Astyanax mexicanus: one gene and its partner. The main gene of each other region encodes a partner of the protein of the gene in region 2 in a complex. Links are inferred from orthologs where the notes say so. Each region holds a gene or a part of one and is shown on either strand. Other genes may lie near its edges.

Region 1 (12,128 bases), on a different chromosome or scaffold from region 2:
TGTAAAGAGGACACAGGGACCGATGCTGCGTATCTTAGATCTTAGATGATCACGTCTTTTGAGAATGATAAGAAAGAGAGAGAAATTTGAGAGAGATTTAAGGGAGATTTGATGGAGATTTTAGTGAGATTGGTGACTAATGTGTGTCTAATAAAAGGTCACGTGACGTGCTAGCCCCATTCAGATGGTTTGACACTGAACCTCGAAGAGCGAATGGACACAAAACCTACGGACTATTCCTAACATTCCAGGAGTCTTGTCTCTTTATCTTGTTTTTTTATATGTTGGCAAAGTATTTTTTCTTTTGTTCATTTTTGATTTTGTTACACAAGTGCTACACCATTTCTTTATTACTTTTTCCAGGTATTTCTCTTTTTTATTTTGAAGTGTAACACTGCTCAGGACTGTAGTGCTGTTATTTCTGACTGTTAGGGGTTGACGCTTTTGGTTAGCTTCTTCAGGATTGGAGGGGACACGTGGACACATGGACTCATGGACTGTAGACACAGTTGAACGACTGACAGATGGATAATAGTATTTAGGATAACTGTGTTTAGTGGGACCAGTTATAAAAGCATCATTATGACGTCATGTAGTTTCAAATACATATGTTTGTGTTTCTGTAGTGCACCAACAGTTTGGTATAATAAGACTGGATTACAGATGTAAGCTTCACCATCGAAGAGGGTGAAACGCAGGTTTTCTGGCAGAATTGTTGTCCAGCAGAAGAGAGAAAGGACTGTGAGGACACTAAGTACATAAAAGTACGAACAGATTGAGTAAAATTAAACTGCAGCCCTAAAGACCAAGCCTAGGTAGATAAGATACGGGCCAGGAGGGTTATTTTTCTAGTAGGCAAACGTTTGTTAGTGCAAACAAACTGTGTGAAATGTGCAAAATGTTGAAAAGGTAGAATTGAGAGGTAATGAGGTCATGTATTTTGACTAGTTTTGAGATTTGAGAACCTGTAAAAGCAACATTAATTAATTTATTGGGTTAATTTATGGGAAAATAGCTAGATTGTAGTACATGGGGAAATATGTTAATTCAATTTTTTAGAAAAAAAAAAAGCACTGATGATAAGAAGAAAGTAGTACAGTCAGTAGCACAACAACTTAGCAGCACACAGATGATTTATTATTAGGTTTTCATGCTGGATAGCTAACCGGCTGCCTCTTTGGATGAGCCAACAGTGCTAGCTGCTAGCTGCTTTAGATAGCTAACAATTAGCTAACAATAACCCAGGGTGAGGCTTTTTGTTCAACCCATTTGTGGCTTGCTGGGTCTGCAGGGCTTGGAAAAACATCTAACAGTAATTTTTTACCTCCTGATACCTAAAAAAAAGAACACAGTCCTCATACGGGGGACATTAGTTTTGTTTTTTTTTGTACATTTAAAAATGATTCTTGACATTTGGGATCAGAATGACTCAATTAGTCCAAAAACAGAATGTTAGCTTTCTACAGTAAGTGAATAAATTAGTTTTAAACACAAAATTAACTATTTCTATCTGGACTGGCTGTAGAAACTTTTGACTGTGATTCACAACATCTTTCAACAATTTCCAATCAAATGACATTAATGTTGTCATGTGACCAATAGATGATATAGGCAGTGTCTCAAAATGAGGCCAATGATATTTAACATTTTACAAAAATTAGGATTATAGTGCAAAGTAGCGGAAATATAATATAAATATCCTTATATTCCCATATAAGGATGCAGGGTCTCAAGAGGTTAAAATAAATTAGTAAAATATATATATATATATATATTGACTTTAAGGTCCTTCTGCTGAACACAATTTCTGTCGGTTAACTTGCAAACCAGTCTTTAATCTGATTTAATAATAATAAAAAAAAACTGACTTTTAGGCTAAAAAGAAACGCACCCACATGCCCCTATTCCGTGCAGCTATTTATTCATGTCTTTTAGTTTAGCCCAACCTAGAGCCTGGCTGATTTTTTAAAGCTGATAAATGAATGGGGCTTATTTGCTAGATGATGTTACGCCAAAATTACTCAAAATAACAAATTAAATGGGGAGTTTTTCAGACAAGGATTGAGCCTAGTCTTGGACTAAACTAAAGCATTTTGAATGGAGATGTTCCAGCATAAGGAAAATATAAGCTGTGTTCAGAATTTACTCCTCATCGAAGAAGTAGTGCACTATTCCCTATATAGTTCACTACCAAACACCCATAATGCATCACAAAATGTAGTGTATAGATGATGTACACTAGAATTTCCAGTGTATACCATAATGCAGTGAAAGTGGTGTTATATTAGATGTTCTCAAAGCTGCACAAACAAAGATTTTAAGAAAGTTTGTTGTTAGGTTGATCCAGTGTCAGTTCACTATATAGCAAATGTGATCTACAGCTCTGAAAAATGAGAGCACCTAAAAATTAAGAGTGTCTTTGATTTTAGCAAATTAAAAAACTCTGGAATATAATGAAGAGGAAGATGCACCAGGAGTAAAGCAGCATAAAGTTATCCAAAAGCAGTGTGTAAGACTGGTGGAGGAGAACATAATGCCAAGATTCATGAAAAAAACTGAGATTAAAAACCAGGGATATTCCACCGAATATTGATTTCTGAACTCTTAAAACTTTCTCGTAATTTTTCCAAAGCTGTATATGAATCGTAAAGTAGTTAACGAGTGAGCCAATCCAAACACTGAAGCTTTAGTCTACAACATGGCTCAATCCTTGTCTGATCAAACTTCCCCAAAATCATGTTCCACAGATTTCCATTTAAATGAAAGAACATGGATAGTTAAACTTTAAGAGATTTAAAGTTTTTTAATACTTCAGTCAGGCTCTAGGCAAAGTACCAGTACCACAAAAGAAAACAATGACTGGACAAGAGAATCTGCTTTACTTTATTTGCTTTCCTTTTATGAATTCATACATATGTGTATGATACAAGTGCCCAATACTGTCTGTTCAAAACTATTGCCAAAATGAAGAAATATTCAATATCAAAGAGTTTTGCGTATTCCTTCCACTCTGCGCTGATCTCACTGGGTAATCACTGACAAAGGCCTTTATTCACCAACTGTATTTAAGAAGAAAAATCTTTTTTTTTTCCCACTTGCAGTTTTTTTGCAAAGATTTAAATTTTCTTAATCGGGATTTGTTTAATTTATGAGGACAAAAGTGATCCATCACTATAAGAGCATTTATTAATTTAATCAGTAATCTGATTAAAATTTGTCTTGGGAAGATATTGATGAATGGAGCCTTATGTCTTTTATATATGATATATACTAGTGCATCTAAAAAATTAAGACTATCATTGAAAAGTTTATATTTACTTTATTTTAGCAATTCAGTTCAAAATGTGAAACGTAATTTGAAATATTATATAGATGTATTACACAAAGAGTAATCAATTTTGGTTTAAAAAGACATGTCATCTGCTGGTGTTGATCCACTGTGTTATATCAAGTTCAAAATCAGAGCTGACAACTTTTATGAAGATGCAGATTTCATTTTCCAGCAGGATTTGGCACACTGCCCACACTGCTAAAAGTACCAATTGGTCTAATAGAATATTCTACTTTTCTAAAACACTGATTTTTGGGGTTTTCATTGGTTCTAAGCCATAATCATCAACAATAAAATAAACAAACAATTATAACGCTATATGAGTTTCACATTTTGAACTGAATTACTGAAACAAAGTAACTTTTCAATTATATTTAATTTTTTTGAGATGCACTAGTGTATATATAATTTATTGTTTATTTTGAGTCCAAAATGTAGGACTGTCCAAAGGAAATGTCTGTCAAATGTTATCCCATTACACAGGCTATAGCACGCCCAGTTCACCTAACCTAGGAGGACACACACAAAGAAACACTAAACTCCTTCAGAGACTAGAGTGAGGATTGTATTTACAACCACAAGCCACTGAAGGTACCTGTGCCACACCCCATCTGGATAGGAGCCATTAATATTATGAAAAATAATAAAGGTCAAAGAGAACTGCACACTTCTTAACCGTGCAAGCACTTTTGATCTTTTTTATAATACTGTCATTACAGAAAGGTGAGTATATTCTGACCCCATCATGCAGCCTTATTGCCCACCAATGAAAAGCTGCCTTCAAATACAGCCATCAGATAAATTATAAAAAGCTAAATCTGAGACAGTGGGCTGAACACTGCCCCTCAACTTCAGTCAGAATCTTCCACAATGTTATGTCCATTACATGGTCATGTAATGGTCATGTTTGGAGTCTTCTCTTGCGGTGCTGTCTCCGGCCCTGGTCCTGAATGTCCACCGGAGGGTCCGGGGTTAGCAGGCCGTCACACAGCCGCTGGTACACCAGGGTGGAGTCTGAGGCCACTGCACACAACAGCATTGGGCTTCCTCGGTCCAGGATACACCTCAAACTGAGAACAGATTTAATCAAAATGTGCCACATACAATATATAGAGTCATACATGGTGTAGGCAGAGAAATGCCTTGATAATAATGTCTGCTCACATGAAAAAAATAGATACAGACAAACAAACTCTGGATAGGAAACCAGAATCCCTGGAAAGCGAATCGGTTCTGATACATCAGCTCACAGACGCAGCATTGTGCTAATCCACATCACCCTCAGCGTGATTAGAGGAGAGAGCGCCATCTACTGTTCCCACCCAGAGCAAGACCAACTGTGCTCTCTCAGGGCTCCAGCAGCTGATGGCCGTAAGCTGCATGACCAAGATTCAACCCAGCAATCTCTTGCTTTAGACCCTTGAAAAGTATTACAGTAGTGACGCAAACCTTGTCCACTTACTCTTTGTGGCTGACGGTTCTGTGTGAGGGAAGTGGATAAACCACCTGTACCGGTTCACCTTCCTTCTCACGGCCTTCCAGCAGAACCGCCTGCAGCTCAGAGCTCGCGACTCCCACCACGTCCTTCCAGCGACGAACTGCAACAGAGTTCAGCCATGACAAGACATCCTGATTAACATCCAACATGCACTGAACATATCGTCACAGTACTGGAGAACACTAGAGTTTTCTCTTACCTTCTGTTAAGTCCAGATAAACCAGGAATGCTGCATAGACCTGAGCGCTGTCACCAACATCCAGATTCATCAGGTCTTGGTACTAAAGAGAATAAGCACATTTTAGACCATAGATACTCAAATCATGTCATTGAATAAAGACTCAAAGATGTTTTTGGAGGTCCTACAATTTAATCAGTGTAATGTAAACTGCATGAAAAAAAAAATGTCATTTAGAACATTTATTTGCAGAAAATGAGAAATGGCTGAAATAATGCAAAGGAAACAAGTTCATATTTATAAAGGTTAAGAGTTCAGAAATCAATATTTGGTGGAATAACCCTGTTTTTTAATCACAGTTTTCATATTTTCATGCATCTTGGCATCGTGTTCTCCTCCACCAGTCTTACACACTGCTTTTGGATAACTTTATGCTGCTTTACTCCTGGTGCAAAAATTCAAGCAGTTCAGTTTGGTGGTTTGATGGCTTGTGAGCATCCATCTTCCTCTTGATTATATTCCAGAGGTTTTCAATTTGATAAAATCAAAAAACTCATAATTTTGTTGCTGATCCAAAAAACAAAGATTTATAAAGAAAAATCATGAAAATTATCAGGGGTGCCCAAACCTTTTTATACTACTGTATATTGGTTGGAATGAAGAACAGGCAGCTTAAAGTAACTAAACGTCTCTAAAAATACAGAAACAATATAATATAGCTAGAAAAGATACTTAACTAGGTTAAAAACACCGAAACTCACTGCTGGGTGCTGTTTAATCCAGCTCGAATCAGCCGCTCTGCTTTCTTCCTCCATGCTCCCATTCAGAACGAGGGCGCGTCCCAAATCGCGTACCTGCGTTTAAGTAGACTAACTACTGTTGTGTATTAATTACCGAACCGGTAATTAATACATAAAGCTGAATATCTAAACGATAAACTAAAGTTATCTAGCTACTTGAAAGCAGACTGGAGTGCACCCGGTAACGCCAACATGTAACACTTGCCACTTCGCCACTGGAAAACACGGGCTTCTAAAATGTTAAGTGCGCACTATCTAGACTCTTTAAACCACATATGGAACGCGCCCCAACGTGCTGTTGTTGCGCTTCTCCCAAACCCTACCGGAAAAAAAAACACGCTGTTGAACAAGAGGTTCCGCATTAAAGGAAATCAATCGCTCAAACAATGTATATTAATCCGTGTATCATTCGTTCATTTGATATTCAATTGAGAATCAAAATCGGAAAATTAAAAAACCAATTCGTTTTTTCGTTTTTTCGTTTTTGAATATAATACCAAAAAACGAATAACGGCTTGTATTTTGTATTTTTATTTGGTTATCCAAACAAAAATTGGAAATTTAAAAAACGGACCAGGAGCCGAATTTGATTTTGATTTTGAACTTGACCCATTTGTGTGCCCCGGAAGTTACTGATTTGTTTATTCTTGGTGGGTTTCTGTTGCGCGGGAGTTCACTGCAGTGTTATCTACACAGTCTGTATTGCTGTAGGCAGCATGGCCGGACTGGAACCACATTCTGGCCTAATTAAAGATCTTTTTGAAGGTGGTAAGACGCATGAAGAGATTTCGTGCACGTTGCAGCAAATGGGGATCCAGCGATGTTCTGCAATGAGTGTTAGAAGGTTCTGTGTTCAACACGACCTTAAGCGAAAAAGACATGTATCGAACACAGAATTGGAGAGGGCCGTTGAGGATGGAGAGTTTTATCTTGTTCAGAGGAACTAAACGCGTTGCAGTGAAAGAAGACGATATGACAACAGAAAAAATCGGCAGGATCTTTCAGGTGTTTGTCTAACGTTCCGTAGCTAAATGTCATATTTAGTAGGCGGCAATTCACAGAATAACATTAACTAAATATGACATTTAGCTACGGAACGTTAGACAAACACCTGAAAGATCCTGCCGATTTTTTCTGTTGTCATATCGTCTTCTTTCACTGCAACGCGTTTAGTTCCTATGAACAAGATAAAACTCTCCATCCTCAACTCAATCCAAAGCCTACAGCAATACAGACTGTGTAGATAACACTGCAGTGAACTCCCGCGCAACAGAAACCCACCAAGAATAAACAAATCAGTAACTTCCGGGGCACACAAATGGGTCAAGTTCAAAATCAAAATCAAATTCGGCTCCTGGTCCGTTTTTTAAATTTCCAATTTTTGTTTGGATAACCAAATAAAAATACAAAATACAAGCCGTTATTCGTTTTTTGGTATTATATTCAAAAACGAAAAAACGAAAAAACGAATTGGTTTTTTAATTTTCCGATTTTGATTCTCAATTGAATATCAAATGAACGAATGATACACGGATTTATATTGGTATGTACTAATTACTTTATTTCAGTAATTCAGTTCAAAATGTGAAACTCAAATATTATATAGATGTATTACACACAGATTGATCTATTTTAAGCGTTTATTTCTTTTATTCAGTATTTTTAAATCAGTATTTCAGAAAATTAGAATATTATATAAGACCAACTGGTACTTTTGGCAGTGTGGGCAGTGTGCCAAATCCTGCTGGAAAATGAAATCCGCAAGCTGAGCCTCTCCACTCTTCCTCCTGACTCTGGTTTAAAATTTACTGATGGTCTGTGATGGTTTGGAGAGACATGTCAACAATGTTTTCCTTAACAGGTCAAAAATGTAGAAAAAAAAAACAATGCAAGGTGTGAAGTTTAATTGCACCAAATATTTATTTCATTACCAAAAAAAAAACCTCACAAATATTTATTCAGGATAAAGTAATTTTACTGCAACATAAATAAAGTGCTTAGAAATAAATTTAGATATATTTCTAACTATGCAGATTTTAAACACAATATATCATCTGCACTTAATAATACATAACATAAATAAACATATTAATAAATGTACAAAGAATAAACTTTACTGCTTATAATAAAATATTATAAGATTCTTATCTGGGCAGTGAGTGTTTATTTATAATAGAATATAATACAATTAATCCATATATACATTTGTTTTATAATATATATAACATATATAACATCTCCAAAACTCAACTCATGAGTGTATTCGCTGTGGTTATCCTCCACTCACTAAACCAACACTTGGTTTAATAAATCAGTGTTTTAGGGTTTATCAGTATACAGGTGATGGAACTGAACCAAGCTTTGTTCTTTAAACGAACTCTAGTTCTTAGCCACTTTATTAAAATGAGAATTATTGTTATTTTTAACTTATTTATGCTAATCTGTATATGTATCTTTAATACATTTTTACACTGTAATATTATAAATACTGTAGAAAGAGGCTGATTGTCACTGAGGGCTCCACCTGAATTCGGATACGTTCACAGCATCGTCTTCATTTTATCCTCCTGAAAACCAGAAATACAGCCTGGGTGAGCAGAACATCACTGAACCTCAAACACAAAATAAGAGCTTTAATCACTGCTGATTAAATACTGATGAAATACTGACCTCCTCTTCCTCTGAAGATAAATCTGCACCAGCCAGTTCACAGCAAAAGGCCAGATAAGAGCCAGAGCTACAGTTACAGGAGACGTGTCCTGAGGCCACCAGGGAAATCGCTGGCAAATTACGCAGATTAAAGAGAAAAGATTATATAATTAATTTAAAATATAGTTTCTAAGAATCTAAGAATTGATGTGTTATATTTACCTAAACTTCAAACATCTATCTATCAAACTTCTAAACCTAAACAAACCTCTACTCTACAAACACCAAGAATAAAACATCTACATCTTAAACACAAATACATTTAATGTCCAATTTCCCAACATATAAACCTCAGACAACTAACTGGAAAACATCTAAAATTTCGACATGTTGTAAACAGAGTGGTGTGGCTGTGAGCAGTGAACGCTGCACAGACTGCGCTCTTAGTGTGTAAACAGTATGGAGCAGCAGAGACAGTGTTTGTTCATAGCAGTATGTTATCTGGCTAATATATCAGATTAAACTGCACCTTATCAGCAGTTTAGCTCAATTAAAAAGAAGTGTATTTGATAGCTGTGTTGGCTGGGGCAGATTACAGCGAAATTGGGGTTAAACTTGGTGGTATGATTAATTGCATAACAAAAATGAAAACGTGTTTCTGATTCTTTAGTGATTCTTTTACTGATTCATTGTTTAACGTTGACAGCCCTAATAAATATATAAACCTTACATATCTAAACTTCAAAAACTTTTAAATGTTAAATACATTTATAACTTTAATTATCTAACTTACAAACATACAGTTTAGAACCAACTAAAACAAACCAATTAAACATCTTTATGATTCTCTTTAGTGATTTTATTAATATAATTAAATGTACTATTGTATATTTGACAGCTGTATTGTAAGCCTACCTTTTTTACTGAAGCTGAATGAGGGTCTTGTTCAGGAGGAAAAGCTTCATCCTGAGAAGAAAATACAGTACAGCAGGTTAACCTGAATTTCTTTTGGTTAAAAATTAAACATCGAAATCACACTGTGAAAAATCTGAAGAATTGGTTTGATGCCTCTGTAACAAAAATATAGATTGTGATAATATCTGATGGCAAGAAATATCAACTTTATGACCAGATCTTATAATGTATAGATATACTGTAGTTTTCTATCGTTTTAATTTTCCAAATATTGGTCTTGAACACTGAGAAAATAGTATGAAATAGTAATATTAGTCTTTATCATTTTTTAAGTGTAAAATGAAATAAAGACTAGTAGAATGTAACACTATTATAAAAACCACATAAACATGAATATTAAAGATTATTGATCTAAAGATGCAAAGCTTTTCTGACTCACCTGAGCTGCAGTCAGAGCTTCTAGTGTGTTCAGTCTCTGCAGCACGTTCTGCATGTCATCCTGTAGCCGTGATAATGCTGAGGTGATCTGTGTGTTCACACGGTGTTTGGTTTTCTCTACACACTGCGGGACTTCATGACCTTTCAGTGTTTTCCCAACAGCATCTACGATTTGAGATCCACCTAAATGATGTTCTGAAACAATCGCAAATCATGAACTTCATTTTATGAGCTATAAATTGCAACGTCCACAACCTGGACGTGTTCCGGAAGCAGCAAAGATCAAATAAAATGATACCGGAGTCATTTAGACTGATATGAGCTGTAATTATTGAGTAACACAAGTGGTAGTATTGTGTAATGCACATGTAGTTCATGTGTAATGCAACATAATACCCATTAGTGTCCTGCGATAATCCATCACATGTATCTGAAAATGTGCTATCAACATGGTCAACACTATGATCGGGAGATTGCTGATTCGAATCCCGGTCATGCAGCTTGCCATCAGCTGCCAGAGCCCTGAGAGAGCACAGTTGGTCTTGTTCTCTCTGGGTGGGTACAGTACAGTAGATGGCGCTCTCTTTTTCCCCTCATCACTCCTAGGGTGATGTGGATCAGCACAAGGCTGCATCTGTGAGCTGATGTATCAGAACCAAGTTGCTACAGAGTCTGACTTTACATGTGTCAGGGGAGGCATGCGCTGGTCTTCACCCTTCTTGTGTTGTGGCATCATAAGTGACTAGCAGCTGAATGGTTGGGACAATCGGACTAGCTTAATTTGGGAGAAAATTAGAAATAAATTTGAATAAAACTCTATAATACTAATGGATTATAGCAGGACACCATAAGGAACCTCTACAGCCCTGAATTATGCCCATACCAATCTAAATTTGTAATTATTTATTGTTCTTAGCAACCTTCATCTTTCTTCCTAATAGCATTAATATCTAATATCTGACACATTCTACTGGTTGCAACTATTTTTTGATGATAAGTGTACTATAATATACTAAAATACTAATATTACTATATTTTAAGGCTGTTATACTGTAATATAGCACATGTTCAATTAGAATATTAAACAGTAATGTGTATTAAAGCATATATAAGTGTGTCTACAGCATGTAAATGTTACCAACAACGCACCATCCCTTCCTCTGTCCACTGAGTCTCTCTCAGACTGGACTGGCCCAGCTGCCACAGGGATGGGGAGGAGGGTCTCCTGCCGTTTTGCATCCTGGCTTCCTCTGGGATCCTCCAGTCTTCTGGCTCCAAATGCCTCGGGCCCTGCCAACCGGCCCCTGGAAACCCTTAAACCCTGCAGGAACCAAATAAACCATCACACACACTCATAAACAACCAGAAACCCATTTTTAAATCATGTTATGACATCATTCAGGTGAGTCCTGAGCTAAATAGGTACCAATTATATTCTCACTCACATGGATATCATTTGATACAAATCACTACATGTACAAATGTTTGTGGAAACTAAATTTAGATGCATCTAATGCTGACACAGATTGTGGGATTCTGGTCCCTTGATTTACTTTAAATGAAATGTAAAATTTACTGATGATCAGTGATGGTTTGGAGAGTCATGTCTGTCATCTGCTGGTGTTGATCCACTGTGTTTTATTATCAAGTCTGTGCAGTTTTGTTTTCCCACAAAATCTTACAGCTTCCCTCTGCTGATAACAACTTTTATGGAGATGCGGATTTCATTTTCCAGCAGGACTTAGGCACCAATAAGTACCAATTAGTCTTATATAATATTCTTATTTTCTGAGACACTGTTTTTAGGTTTTTACTGGCTGTAAGTCATAATCATCAACAATAAAAGAAATAAACGCTTGCTTGTTAGCTACACTGGACTCATAGCTCTAGTTTAACATATAAGAAGGAACGTTTACACACCAAATACGCCTTGATTTAATAACTATATTTGGATTAGGGATTTGCTTAAAAACTGAAGGATGGTAGTACCTCTTGAGGTGTTGCACATTCCACTGAGTCACTGCTAACTTCACACTCAGGGACTTCATCTGGAAGGGAAAACAACATTAGCAGCTGTAGTCTGTGTTGATTTGTAAAGTAAATTAATTATGTTTTTAAATGTGTGTATTTATTTAAAAAAAATGAAAATTGGTCACAGTATAATTTCAATGTGTGTTAGGAAAGTTAGCCTAGCATCTCTAGTTCTAAACTGTTCTAAAAAAAGATTTTTTTTTTTTACCCAAACTAAACATTTAAAATGTCCATTTAAAAACATTTAAAAGTCCACAATGTTTCCAGTACAAACTGTTAAAAGAGACA
Region 2 (12,091 bases):
GAAGTACAAAATGCAGTATTATCTACTTGAAAGTAATGCTGCAGTTAAAGTACTTTTTAAGTGTATATGTAAAGTAAAATATAGTAGCTTAGGCTATGTGCAGTGTCTGTGGATCAGTATAGTGCAAGAAATACTATGTAAATATGAACATTGCATTCATGCTTGGACAAAGTTCTAAGTAGTACTTGTTTTAAATTTTAGCTGTGTGGGTGAAATGGTAGAAATATTATCATAATATATTTAAGAACAATGCAATACCTGTCGCATATTTTTTTTATTTTGACTTGCAAACAAAATGCGTCAGTAGTGGCAGACCACAATCTAAAGTGTATCTAGTGATGCCATTTCTTTGTGTTTAGCATATCCTGAGGATACAAGCGGGTGTTTGAGGAGTACACTCGGGTTCTTGCCCAGAGGTACCCAGACATCCGCATCGAAGGGGAGAACTACCTGCCTCAGCCCATGTACAGGTACATATACAGCTTTTCTTTCAATTAACAGGTCAATAAACAATGAATTATTTTTTCTGATCACACGTTTACGTATTTCTAAAGCTTGTGTAAATTCTCTGTTTGCAGACACTTTGCTTCCTTCCTGTCCATATTTAAGCTTGCAGTGATTGGTCTCATTGTTGTGGGAAAAGACCCGTTTGTGCTCTTTGGTGTGGAGACCCCTGGACTCTGGGCTTGGGGTCAGGAGAATAAGGTAAGGATATAACATTTGTAACCCCTCTACTTATTTTAAGAAGGAACAATTAGTCATTTTCATTAGTGATTAGTCTATTTACGTGTATTAAAATGATAAACAGACAATAGTATGATTTGTTATAAATATTTTTGAGGTGGATAGAGACAGATTAAGCGTCTCTACACTATAGAAAACAAGAAATCCAGCTAGGGAAAAGAAATTGGTGTAACCATAAAACCAGTAAAGAACGTGGATTACCCAATACAAGTGTGGTGCAAGCTGTTTGTAATTCTTAAAAGGTTTACATGTTTTCTCAGTACCACTCTGTGAGGCTCTCTCTGTGATTTCTGTGATTCAGAGATCATGGATGGAACTACCGAATAGATGCGTTTAAAAAAAGTATAGTGCTAGTGCGTCATCTGTTCAGTCCCTCGTCAGTTACCTGCAGCGCACTGGGATTCTGTTTATAAGTGTAACCCACACCATAGGCCCTACTGGGAGGTTGTTAACGATGTCTGCTGGGAGACTTGCATCAGCCTCTGTCTCTCTTGGTAATCTTGAGATAGATAGGAGTGTAAAGGGCTGAGGGCCCTTGATGTATTTGATGATTTGATGCATTATTTTGATGATTTGATTTATTATTATTTTTATACATAATGCTGAATGCTTACTTAATCTTACTTTAAACTCTGTAAATTTGAAAGGGGTATTGGAATGTCTTACAGAGTTGATTTCCCAAACACGGATTATGCCTAGTCGTAGACTGTGTTTTCCTTTCAACAAGAATTCTCTATTCAAAATGCTGTACAGTCTGAGACTGTGCTTAATAATTTGTGTGGAAAAACTACCCATAAAGACTTGCATTTAATTTCTCCATGCCTGCAGCTACCCTTATGATGCACATGAGCTGAAGTGAACTATTTGGATTTGTTTTCCTTTTTTTTTTCAGATATATGCTTGTATGATGGTGTTTTTCCTCAGCAACATGATTGAAAACCAGTGTATGTCCACTGGTGCCTTTGAAATATCACTGAATGGTAAGTTTATTTTAAATGTATTATTATTTTATTATAAATCAGTGAGGATTTTTCCGTTTCAATGTTGTATTGTGCAGAACAGTCAAGACTTTTTCCAGAGGCTTTGCCAGACTAACCTTGTGCTGTGTTTGTGTATGTGTGTGTCTGTCCACAGATGTGCCTGTTTGGTCCAAGCTAGAGTCTGGCCACCTTCCCTCCATGCAGCAGCTGGTCCAGATCCTGGAGAATGAGATGAAGCTGAATGCACACATGGACACCCTGCCCCTTCAACGAGCCTAAGTCAAGACTGTTGGGGAATCAGAGCTCTTCCTTTTCCTGTAGGTAACAATAGAGAAACCTGCTGATAATAGAATATTCAAAACATTGTGGTAAACATGATTAACCAGTTATTTCTTAACTCCTAACACCCCTAACAAACCTTTCCTCCTGTCTCCCACTATTTCCCTTGGCCTCCTTTAAAATGTTTTTGCCTTAAAGATCTATGTCCTCTATTGCTAAATGTACATCATTAATTGTAAGTCGCTCTGGATAAACGCTCCTGCAAAATGTTATGTAATGTAATTTGGAAAATCAAATATTCTAAAAGGGTTATGCAGTTAGGGTTATAAAATCGGATTAATTTTTTTTTTTTTTTTTTTTTTTTTTTTTTTTACATTTTACATTTGTTTACATTTTCAGGCCTCTGTTTATATTTTGCAATTGATTCTTGTTAAAGGTCTTTCTTGGGAAAGAAACAGTGAATGAGCAGGTGTTCCTATACCTCTGTCCATACCTCTGCATTTACAATTTTAAAATGCTTTTACTGGTCTGACAGACTTCATTTTGACACAATCATGCCTTTTATTTTCCAGCCATTAGGGTTATAGCTCGATACATTTTAAACATGTATTGGTTTTAAAAAGTGATAGCACTGAAATGCCATTATTGGCAGAATATTGATCAGGTTTTTATCAGTTTTGTCATGATTTTCATCATTGCACAAATGTAATTTGTTAAAAAAAAAAAAAAGGACATTTAGGCATTTAAAAAAATATTAGTTTTAACTTTAGACATTTAACACCCAATGTGGGTGCAATCTGATTACATTATTAAATATGTTATTGTTTGTTAAACCTTTTTTAAGCTTTTACTTGTGTTCTAATTATCAAAAATGTTAACTTTTTCAGTTTAACAATTTTTTGTTGCCAAATATTTGGTAAATACATAGTTTCAAAGTGATGATTGCTGATTTTCTCTTGTTTGACATTAATTGGTGACTATTTTGTTTCTCTCTCTAGGTATATGTTAGGACTACACAGTCAGTAAAGGGGCACCAATGAAAGTCTTCACTGAAAACAGAGTCTCTGCTGGTGTAGACTGGATGTCCTCGTCCACTTTTACTGTTAGCTGTGGGAGTCCTGACATACACAGTGGGTCGACTGCCTCTGGATTAGCAATGGTTTTATTGGAATGGTGGGAAATCTTATTTGAAAAGTCCTTGTGAAAGCTACAGCCTTTCATTTACTCTAGAAGTCAGATATTGGAGCTGGGAATGATCTCACAGCTGAGTTAATGATGTTCCAGTTCATTCAGATAATTTTACAAAATTTTAAAGCATTTTTAAAATGCAATATTATGGTAATAATATGAACAATACCAGTTAATAACAGTGCTTTACACAGACTTTTACATACTTAACAACATGGAGAATGGAGTCATAATTGGAACTTCGACGTCCGCTTTTAAATGGCACGCAGCAATCCTACATTTGGCTATCCATTGTTAATTAATAAGCCTTGTTGCTCTTAAAGATGCAGTCAGCTGATCTACACATGCACTTTTCAATAAGCCCCCCCCCCCTCCCAGTCTTTACAAAAACAGTTAATTGTTTATAGTAACAGTAATCAAGGGCCAAAGTTGTGTGTGTAATTCTGTTCCCATTAACGCACACATTTTCCGCGCACATTTTTGATACTTATGCATAATTTCCCAGATTAAAAAAATTGCTCTTATGGCAAACAAAACACACGCACAATTATAAATTATTGTGATTTTAGATATATGGATCAAGAGTTTTATTCATATCTGAAGAATTTTATGCTAAAGACTTAATAAAGATGAAATACATACCTTACTGTATATTTTATCCAGATCATGAGGAAATGTACGTCATTGAGTTAATATATTCCGATTTGTTTATTTTTTTCAATGTTTCTTTTTATATTCTCAACTGAAATAAAATATCATTTATGTCTAAAACTGCTGCTGCTTGCGAACTCGTTCTTAAGTTGTTTCTAATTTATTGTATATGAATTTTATGTATTTTAAACCTTAGTATCTATTCTTTTACTTGAGTTTATGAATGTGAACAATTTTGAGACATTTGATGATGTCCAAACACTTTCAGACCAACACTGAAACTGTAGGATTTAAATAATCTTCTACCTGATGTATTATCAGTTTGCGTCTGAATGTGTTAAAAACACAGTGTAAAGTTACACTTCTGTAAGTATATTAGCTGGTTTCAAAGCAAAAATGTGAATATTCATTTTTGACTTCAATTTTCTCTAATCTGACTCAAATTGTATTATTTTTGATCAAGTAGAAACTTAATTATAATTTTTTTGCTAGATGAGCACTTTACTGCCACTCTAGAGGGCACTTTAGCTTTTTAGTTGTTTTTAACTGTTTTTTTTTTCTAAAGTTGATGCAAATGCAGTTTAGATGCCAGTTGTTGAATTGTTGAAAGAAATCACAGAGGAGTTGAATATTTTCTAATGGAATTTTATTGAGACCTCAGGAATGATAATTTAATAGGACTTCATGGTGTCCCTGATCCAGGTGTTGTAGTTGCAGACTTTGGTGTAGACGCCGGGCTTGTTCCTCTGGGCACATCCGTAACCCCAGGAGACGACGCCCTGCAGCTGTCCGTTGCAGACCACGGGTCCACCGGAGTCGCCCTGGCAGGAGTCCTTTCCGCCCTCGAGGAATCCGGCGCAGAACATGTTGGAGGTGATCTGACCGGGGTAGGAGTTTCTGCAGGAACTGTCACTCAGGATGGGGGCATCCAGGCACCTCAGGCGGTCGGGGTAGTTGCTGCCACTGCTGCTGGTGTTGCCCCAGCCGGAGATGAGGCAGCGGGTGCCGGCGGCGGCGCAGCTGCTGGGCAGGGACACGGTCTTGACGTAGCTGTTGAGGTTGGCGGGTTGGCTGAGCTTGATGAGCATGATGTCGTTGTCCAGGTTGTTGCCGTTGTAGCGAGGGTGCTTGACCACCACAGCGGAGTTGAGGAACTGCTCGGTGCCCTCGTTGACGTTGATGTTGTGCTCTCCCAGGCGCACCTGGATGCGAGACTTGTAGCAATGGGCGGCAGACACCACCCACTGGCTGCTGATGAGGGAGCCGCCGCAGAAGTGGTAGCCGGCGTTCAGGGAGACCTGGTAGGCCACACCGTTCTTCTGGCACTCGTAGCCACCGACGATCTTGTCATCGTCACCATCCAGGGGGGCGGCGTACGCCACGGCGCACAGGGCCAGGAGAATGAGAGCCTTCATGGTTGTGCTGGACAGGAACGTCTCGCTGTATTTGGACGCCCTCAGGCCTTGCTTATATACCTAGAGAACAGCAGATTTGCTGACCATGCTCAAGGACAGGTGGTGCATATGTTGCACACGTACAAGTACCATGTACGCATTAACAAGTAACCAGTGTGTGAAATGACATATGGCTATAGATATGGTATCATGCATAGAGCAGGACTGAATACTCGGCACTTTCTGAGTATGATCATACGAATATGAAGTTTAAATGAAGTTTGGATAATATAGATATGTTATATAATAAAATGCAACATACACACATTTTTTACTGCAGCTTTAGACAATAATGTGATCAACATTGCAAGTACTTTCACCATTTACTGATGCATTTTGTCAAACATATGGCATGGATTGGAATACCTATATGAATATATGATTTATTTACAGACGTGATAATATGAGCCATGGATCCCAGTGTCTGCAACAGATACTGTAGAACTGAGATGGGTTAAAAGTTTATTAGTGGGTTCAAGACGGCTATGCCTCTTGGACAGGGTGTCAGTTCATTTTAGGGGCAACAAACACAGGACCACAAACATTTTACCAGCAGTCAACTTAATTGTGTCTTTTAAGTTTTACATTTAATGCTGATGATGGTAAAACAGTAGTAAATTGGAAAACAAAAAAGATTCCTTCCTAGACTATTTTCACTTTTTTGAACACCCTGCAAGAACCTCCACAAAGGATATAAAATATTTCAGGCCAAAAGCTTCTCAAAACTGTAAGTCAGTAAACACTAAAAAGAGATTGTGCAAAAGTTTTAGAATTAAAGTATATATATTAGGGATATATTGAAATGAAACAATATAATATAACTATACAAATATATAAACTATTTTTCTACTACCCACTTGTTCTGCTTTATTTCTATATTTTTAATAAAAGAAATGACTTTAGCCATGTCTTTATTATTGCACTTCACCTGTTAGACATCTAATTATTTTCTTCACTGCTGAAACAAAGACTTAGTCCACCGTTAAACTAAGCTAAAGGTGTTGGTACGTGGGTCAGTCTGGCCGTGTACCAGTTTTCTCCAGTTTCTATCCGGATGGGATTAGTTTCTCAGGGGGTCCTGGGTTAATTTTCTCTTTTATGGGGGGCCCTCTGTGATTTTATTCCCGTCCAGAACGACCATGTACTCGTTTTTCTCAGACGTCTCAGAAAATTACATGCCTGAATTACCTACTGTTTTTTGCTGAACTCTGTCGTCCTCTGGTAATTTTATTTTTTTGAGTTTCGTCTCCTCACGTTTAATAAAATAGCTATTTGTCCACTGCTACACACCATATTTACACTTTGGGTGCGTGTTTCCACGGAGATGCACGTAAACACAATGGCAGTGGTAACTTGTTGAAAGAACTGACTTATGGTTTTAATAGTTACAGAGTTATCTGTGTTTCTTTTTTAGTTATTATGATGAAAGTGCTGTGCAGTGGCTTGGAAATTCTCATTTTTTTCATCAATTTCCAAAGCTTAGTTTACTTATATTCCTACAGACCAGCTATAACTCTTAACCAGTAACTTATTTTAAAAAGACTCCAAACCTGTTAATTTTTTTATTTTTACTATATTCAGTTTTTTTTTTACAAAATGAAACAGTGAGTGTTCTAAAACTTTTTTATTTTTATTTTTGATCGGTAGTGTAATTTATTTCTGCATAAAAAAAAAAAACTAAACGTAACGTTATGTTAAATAAAGACCTTTGCTTAAAGCCCATTGGTTATAATGACAGACGTAGGCCACGTGGTGTTTCGCGTCACGAACGTAAACAGTGAAAACAGGAAGTCGGACCTGTAGAGCAGCGTGATCAACAGATAAAAGTCCTGCTGTTTAGGAGAAAAAGAAGTTTTGTTAAACTGTGAATAAATCTAGATTGCATAGATTAGTATCTATTTTATATTTACTTTTTTGTTTTTATCTGTGTTTTAATCTACAGTACAGAAAATACCCGTAATATAGGTATTAAATATATTAAACACAGACAGACTGAAACTGCAGTGTGTGGCCATGTGGTTCATCCTCAGCCCAGCTTCAGCGTTCTCTAACAGAACTTGTGTTTAATGGTTAAACATGTTCTAGGCTTAGTTCTGGTTCTGAGATGGACTGTGAGAGGCCGGCTGAAGATCACGGCACTCGACAGAACGGAGGAGCCGGGGAGGGCGGTGAAGCAGCGGGGGCTGAGAGTGAGGGAGACCGGGAGAGGAGCAGGGAACCCCGTGTGAACATCAGCCTGGTCGGGGGCACTCCTCTACTGTGGAGAGCAGGCGACATCCGGAGAGTCCGGGAGGAGGACGGGGTGGTCGGGGCGCTGGTGGGCTCGCTGGCCAGGCAGCCGAGGCAGAATGTGCGGCTGGGGAGACCGCTGGAGATCCTGCAGGAGGAAGCCAGTCTGCTGCTGGAGAGAGGCAGGGCTGCTGTACAACACACACACAACCAGGTTATCTAGTGTTAACTGTCTTTATTTTATTGGTTATATAAGAATTGGAGAAATCACTGGGTTTATTTTCATCTTTTTGTATTTGGCACCCTCAGATTCCTATTGTTTTTGCTTTTTAAAGCAAAGATTAAAAACACATTTTAATATCAGACAAATATAACCTTAGTAAATATAAAACACACTTTTTAAATTATCGTTTTATTTATTAGGGAAAAAAGTCTATCCAAACCAATCTAACCCTATAAAGTGTTTGCCCCTTAAACCTAATAACCTGGTTGTACCACCCTTGGCAACAACTGCAAGTTTGTCCCACTCTTCTTTACAGAATTGTTTTGTTCAAAGGGTTTTGTTTGGATCATTGTCCTGCTGCAGAACCGAGGTGCACCTGAGCTGAAAGTCATGAACTGATGGCCAGACATTCTCCCTCAGAATTTTCTGGTAAACAGCAGAATTCCTTGTTCCATCTATTAAAGCTGTGAACAAGTTGTTCAGGCCCAGAAGCAGCAGAGTAGCCCCAGAACTTCACACTACCACCACCATGTTTTACGTTCAGTATGATGCTCTTTTTCTGAAATTATTATTTTTTGATTTACGCAAGTTGTAATGGGCCACACATCTTCCAAAAAGATCATCAGGATGTTTGCTGCCAAATGTGAGATGGCCTGTTGTGTTTTTCTTGGTCAGCAGTGTTTTTTGTCTTGAAACCTGCCTAGAATCTAATGAAAACCATTTTCGTCCAGTCTCTTTTTTTTATTATTGAATCATTAACACTGTCCTTAACTGAGGCAGATGTGGCCTGCCATTCTTTAGATGTTGTCATTGGTTATTTTGTGACCTCCAGGATTAGTTGTCCATACCCTTTTAGAGTAATTTTGGTAGGCTGGTCACTCCTGGGAAGGTTCACCAGTGTTCCATTGTATCTGCGTTTGTGAAAAATAGCTCTCACTGTGGTTCACTACAGTCCCAATGCTTTAGAATGTATTTTTAAACCTTTTACAGATGGACAGATGTGAGTGAATTTCTTCAGAAATACATATGATGTGTTGCTTTTAAGATCTTATATTTTGCTTCATGTTGTCAGACAGGTTCTATTTAAGTGATTTCCTGATTGTTTGACAATCAGGAAATCAGTTCCTGGGGAGTTTATACCACTCTTATACACACTGGGAGTACTGATAGTACTTCTCTAACATTGACTTGTCAAGCAGTTGTTCTAGAGTGTTTACTGGAGTAAAATGGCTACTTATTGTTTGCAACCATAGAATACCCTCTCATGTTTATTTTTGTGAGTGTTTTTTGTTTAATGGCACAAAGAGGCTAAAATATTGTTTAAGGGTAAAATTGATATTTGTTTTTTTTGTAATTTATACAAGCACTGTTGGGAAATGCACACTTGTCAAAAGCTTGTATATTATAAAGGCTCCTCGCCAAGAAATGGCTAACCATGTGTAGGCTTATTGTCATGCTGTAGAGATAATGTAAACTGTACCTGCATCTATACCTGTGGCATATTATTAAAAAAAAAAAAAAACTACTTACTGCATACATACTTTGGTCAAAGCAAGATGGTGGTGGATTCTGTTCTGTTTACCATTTTTTTCTATAGGAAGATGAAGAAAGCCATGTGAAGGCTGTTGAGGCATACCAGTCCAGACTGGAGCACAGTTATGAGGAGCAGTGTGTTCTCGCCCTCGAGGACAAGAAGGCGGTTCTGCAGAGAGTAATGAATGCAAAACAGAACGGTGAGTAAAAGTCAGTTACAGCCAGGACTGAGCATTAGGTATTTTAGAGCTTTCAGAACAAGACCTTTTGTCTCCATTTATCATCATTTGAAAATGGCAACAGCTCTGCACTGGGCATATGCCCCAGGAACTGCCTGACGTTTTGGAGATGTTCTGACCCAGTCGACTAGAGCATCACAGTTTGTGCCTGTCAAAGTGTCTCAGATTCTTTCTCTTGTTAATTTTTTTTTTTTGTTCAACACATGACATTCAAGAACTGACTGTTCACTCGCTGCCTAATATATCCACCACTTGAAAGATGATCTTGTAGATTAAGAAAATCTGTGTTTTTCACTTCACCTGTTAGTGTTAGAGTTAGGGCTTATTATGACTTTGTATCGCTATTTAGTCTACACCTAATCCAATCTTCTCTGCCACCGTCACCAGAGAGTCCAGCTTCATGCAGACCCTCTTTTTCCCTCTTGCTGAAAAGCTGATTTTTAAAATTTTGTTCCAAAATCAATGTGATTGGTTACACACACATTTATAGATACTTATTAGATTTAATTATACAAATCTAGATTTAAACATCTAATTACAACTCTTTAACCCTATTAGACCCTGCATCCATTACAATTGACATCATATATGAATGGTCCATATCATCATATCATAAACCAGCCAATGAAACAGTAGCTTAGCCCCACCATTGCACTGGAAAATAAGACCAACTCAGAAATTAGGGCATGGCTGCACTTGAGCCAGTGAGGCAAAATAGGAGCTTATTGTTACTATTTATATGTGATTTAGAACACATTAGGTCAATATCAAATTAAAATTACAAGCATTATAGACAGAAAGCAGCATTCCTTTATTTTTTATTTTTATTTATCACTCCATCACTGGGACATAATTCAGTTCTGAAAGGGTTAATCACAGTGCTACTGTTATAAAGGATTAAGATAAATAATTTAATTGAATACAGTAGCTGAAGCATCATTTTGTTTTTTTTTGTACAGGCAGACAGTTTCTAAATATAATGATTTTTTATTGTGTCTTTTTGCACAGATCACACATGTGACGAGGGCACAGAGCAGGCAATGAGAGAGCGGCTCAGCTCCCTGCAGAAAGGCTTCACGTTACCACGCTCCGCCATGGCAGTGCAGCTCTGCACCGCCCGTGCTGGCTTCGGTCACTGTCCCGAAGAAGCTGCTTTCCTGGCTGCTGATTGGCCAATGCCCAGAGATGAGCGGTCTGAGACAAGGTTCAGAGTGTATAGAGATCTGAGGGGGAGGGGCTTCTACCTCACAGCAGCAGGGAAGTTTGGTGGAGATTATCTAGTGTATCCAGGTGAGTTCAGTAGATTTAGTAGACTTATTATAGTGACATGACAAAACTTTTGGGACAGTAGCTGTTTTACAAAAGCTAAATACCTCTGCACTGAGCTGTGGGATACGTGGGCGGGGTCTGCTGCACTGAATGCAGATATGATTTCTTTCAGAGTCACTTGTCTGTTCACATGGACAATTTTAGCCAGATGCTGGTGATCACCATCATGATCACCCACTGCTGTTCGTAACCAAGGTTTTTTTTTTTACATTCAAGGCATTTGTGGGGCCCCAAGCAAAATGGACGCAAGTCGCATACTAACTATAAAGAAGGACCCCATATTAAAAAATCTGATATATTCAGTCAAATATACAGTGAAAAATATATTTGTCCATTTTATAACTATGTTGGCATATTGAAATAGATACTTTTTATGTATACACATAGAAATACATTTGTTTTGTAACATAGACTGATTGTTTTGCTTTTTTCCTGCAGGTGATCCACTGCGTTTCCATGCGCACTTCATTGCTCTGTGCCTGTCGATGGTTGAACAGTTGCCACTGTGTGATGTTCTGGCTGTGGCTCGGCTCGGTTCTAATGTGAAGAAAACAGTGCTGCTGTGCTCCCCACGGGACAGTGGAGTGGAGGGGGAGGTTGTGTATTCATCTCTGCAGTGGAGTGGAATGGTTTAGTGTCTAAAGTTTTTTCAGACACTCAGCTGTTCATGAACTAATAAAACATAAAAAGAAAAAAAAATCAGACCAGAGGATCTATTAGCTTGTGATATGGAACTCAGTCAGTGTGGGGGGAGTGCCTTTTGCAGGTTTGTTAACTATAACAATAAATAAAACATTATTTTTTTGTATTTTTGGTCTTTATTTGTTTGTAACGTGGGCAAGCTTCCATCACAGTGTAGAGTAGCCCTCACATTAAAAAAAACAAAAACAAATTTTAACTTTACAATTTTCATTATTAATGCAGAATTAAAATATTAATGTAAATAAAGTCATTAATTGTGAAAGGGTGTAACATAGTTATTTGTAGAGAAACTTTCCCACTCCAGATGTTCTTATAGTGGCAGAGCTCTGATTATGCTCACACACTGTATCTAAGAGCACATTGTCAGTGCTGATTGGTCAGTCCACAAATAAATTAAAACTCCTGACCTAAACCTGATCAACTGAGATGGTGATTTGGGATGAGCTGGAGCTTTACAGCGTGAAGGAAAAGCAGCAACTATTGTTCAGCACCTCCAGAAACTCCTTCAAGATGCTGAGAAACCTATATTCCATGTGACTC

The links.
Region 1: the proteins of tsen34 (region 2) and tsen15 are in contact, whole or in part, in a crystal structure (PDB 6Z9U), measured with the Homo sapiens proteins. The link is inferred for Astyanax mexicanus from reciprocal best matches to the Homo sapiens genes TSEN34 and TSEN15. Residues at the interface, in NP_001070914.1 of Homo sapiens: Pro251, Leu252, Arg253, Phe254, His255, Ala256, His257, Tyr258, Pro265, Glu266, Asp267, Thr268, Ile269, Pro270, Leu271, Gln272, Leu274, Ser283, Val284, Arg285, Lys286, Thr287, Leu289, Leu290, Cys291, Ser292, Gln294, Val300, Tyr301, Thr302; in NP_443197.1 of Homo sapiens: Leu70, Lys74, Trp76, Thr108, Pro109, Ile110, Thr111, Ala112, Ser113, Leu114, Ser115, His116, Asn117, Ile119, Arg120, Leu123, Leu141, Ile143, Val151, Tyr152, Tyr153, Lys154, Leu155, Thr156, Asp157, Gly158, Phe159, Met160, Leu161, Pro162.

What each region holds. Positions count from the first base shown.
Region 1 is NC_064415.1:56,944,464-56,956,591, forward strand, and holds tsen15 (tRNA-splicing endonuclease subunit Sen15), read right to left. Parts: upstream 6,215-12,128; 5' UTR 5,823-6,214; coding exon 5,769-5,822; intron 5,111-5,768; coding exon 5,029-5,110; intron 4,930-5,028; coding exon 4,794-4,929; intron 4,402-4,793; coding exon 4,233-4,401; 3' UTR 2,865-4,232; downstream 1-2,864. Other genes in the region: acbd5b (acyl-CoA-binding domain-containing protein 5-B), read right to left, coding at 8,362-8,374, 8,478-8,587, 9,372-9,422, 9,811-10,004, 10,959-11,130, 11,799-11,857. UniProt on the Homo sapiens protein: Non-catalytic subunit of the tRNA-splicing endonuclease complex, a complex responsible for identification and cleavage of the splice sites in pre-tRNA. It cleaves pre-tRNA at the 5' and 3' splice sites to release the intron.
Region 2 is NC_064416.1:31,994,160-32,006,250, forward strand, and holds tsen34 (tRNA-splicing endonuclease subunit Sen34), read left to right. Parts: upstream 1-7,083; 5' UTR 7,084-7,400; coding exon 7,401-7,739; intron 7,740-9,345; coding exon 9,346-9,481; intron 9,482-10,528; coding exon 10,529-10,810; intron 10,811-11,287; coding exon 11,288-11,484; 3' UTR 11,485-11,657; downstream 11,658-12,091. Other genes in the region: trypsin-3-like, read right to left, coding at 4,514-5,257. UniProt on the Homo sapiens protein: Constitutes one of the two catalytic subunit of the tRNA-splicing endonuclease complex, a complex responsible for identification and cleavage of the splice sites in pre-tRNA. It cleaves pre-tRNA at the 5'- and 3'-splice sites to release the intron.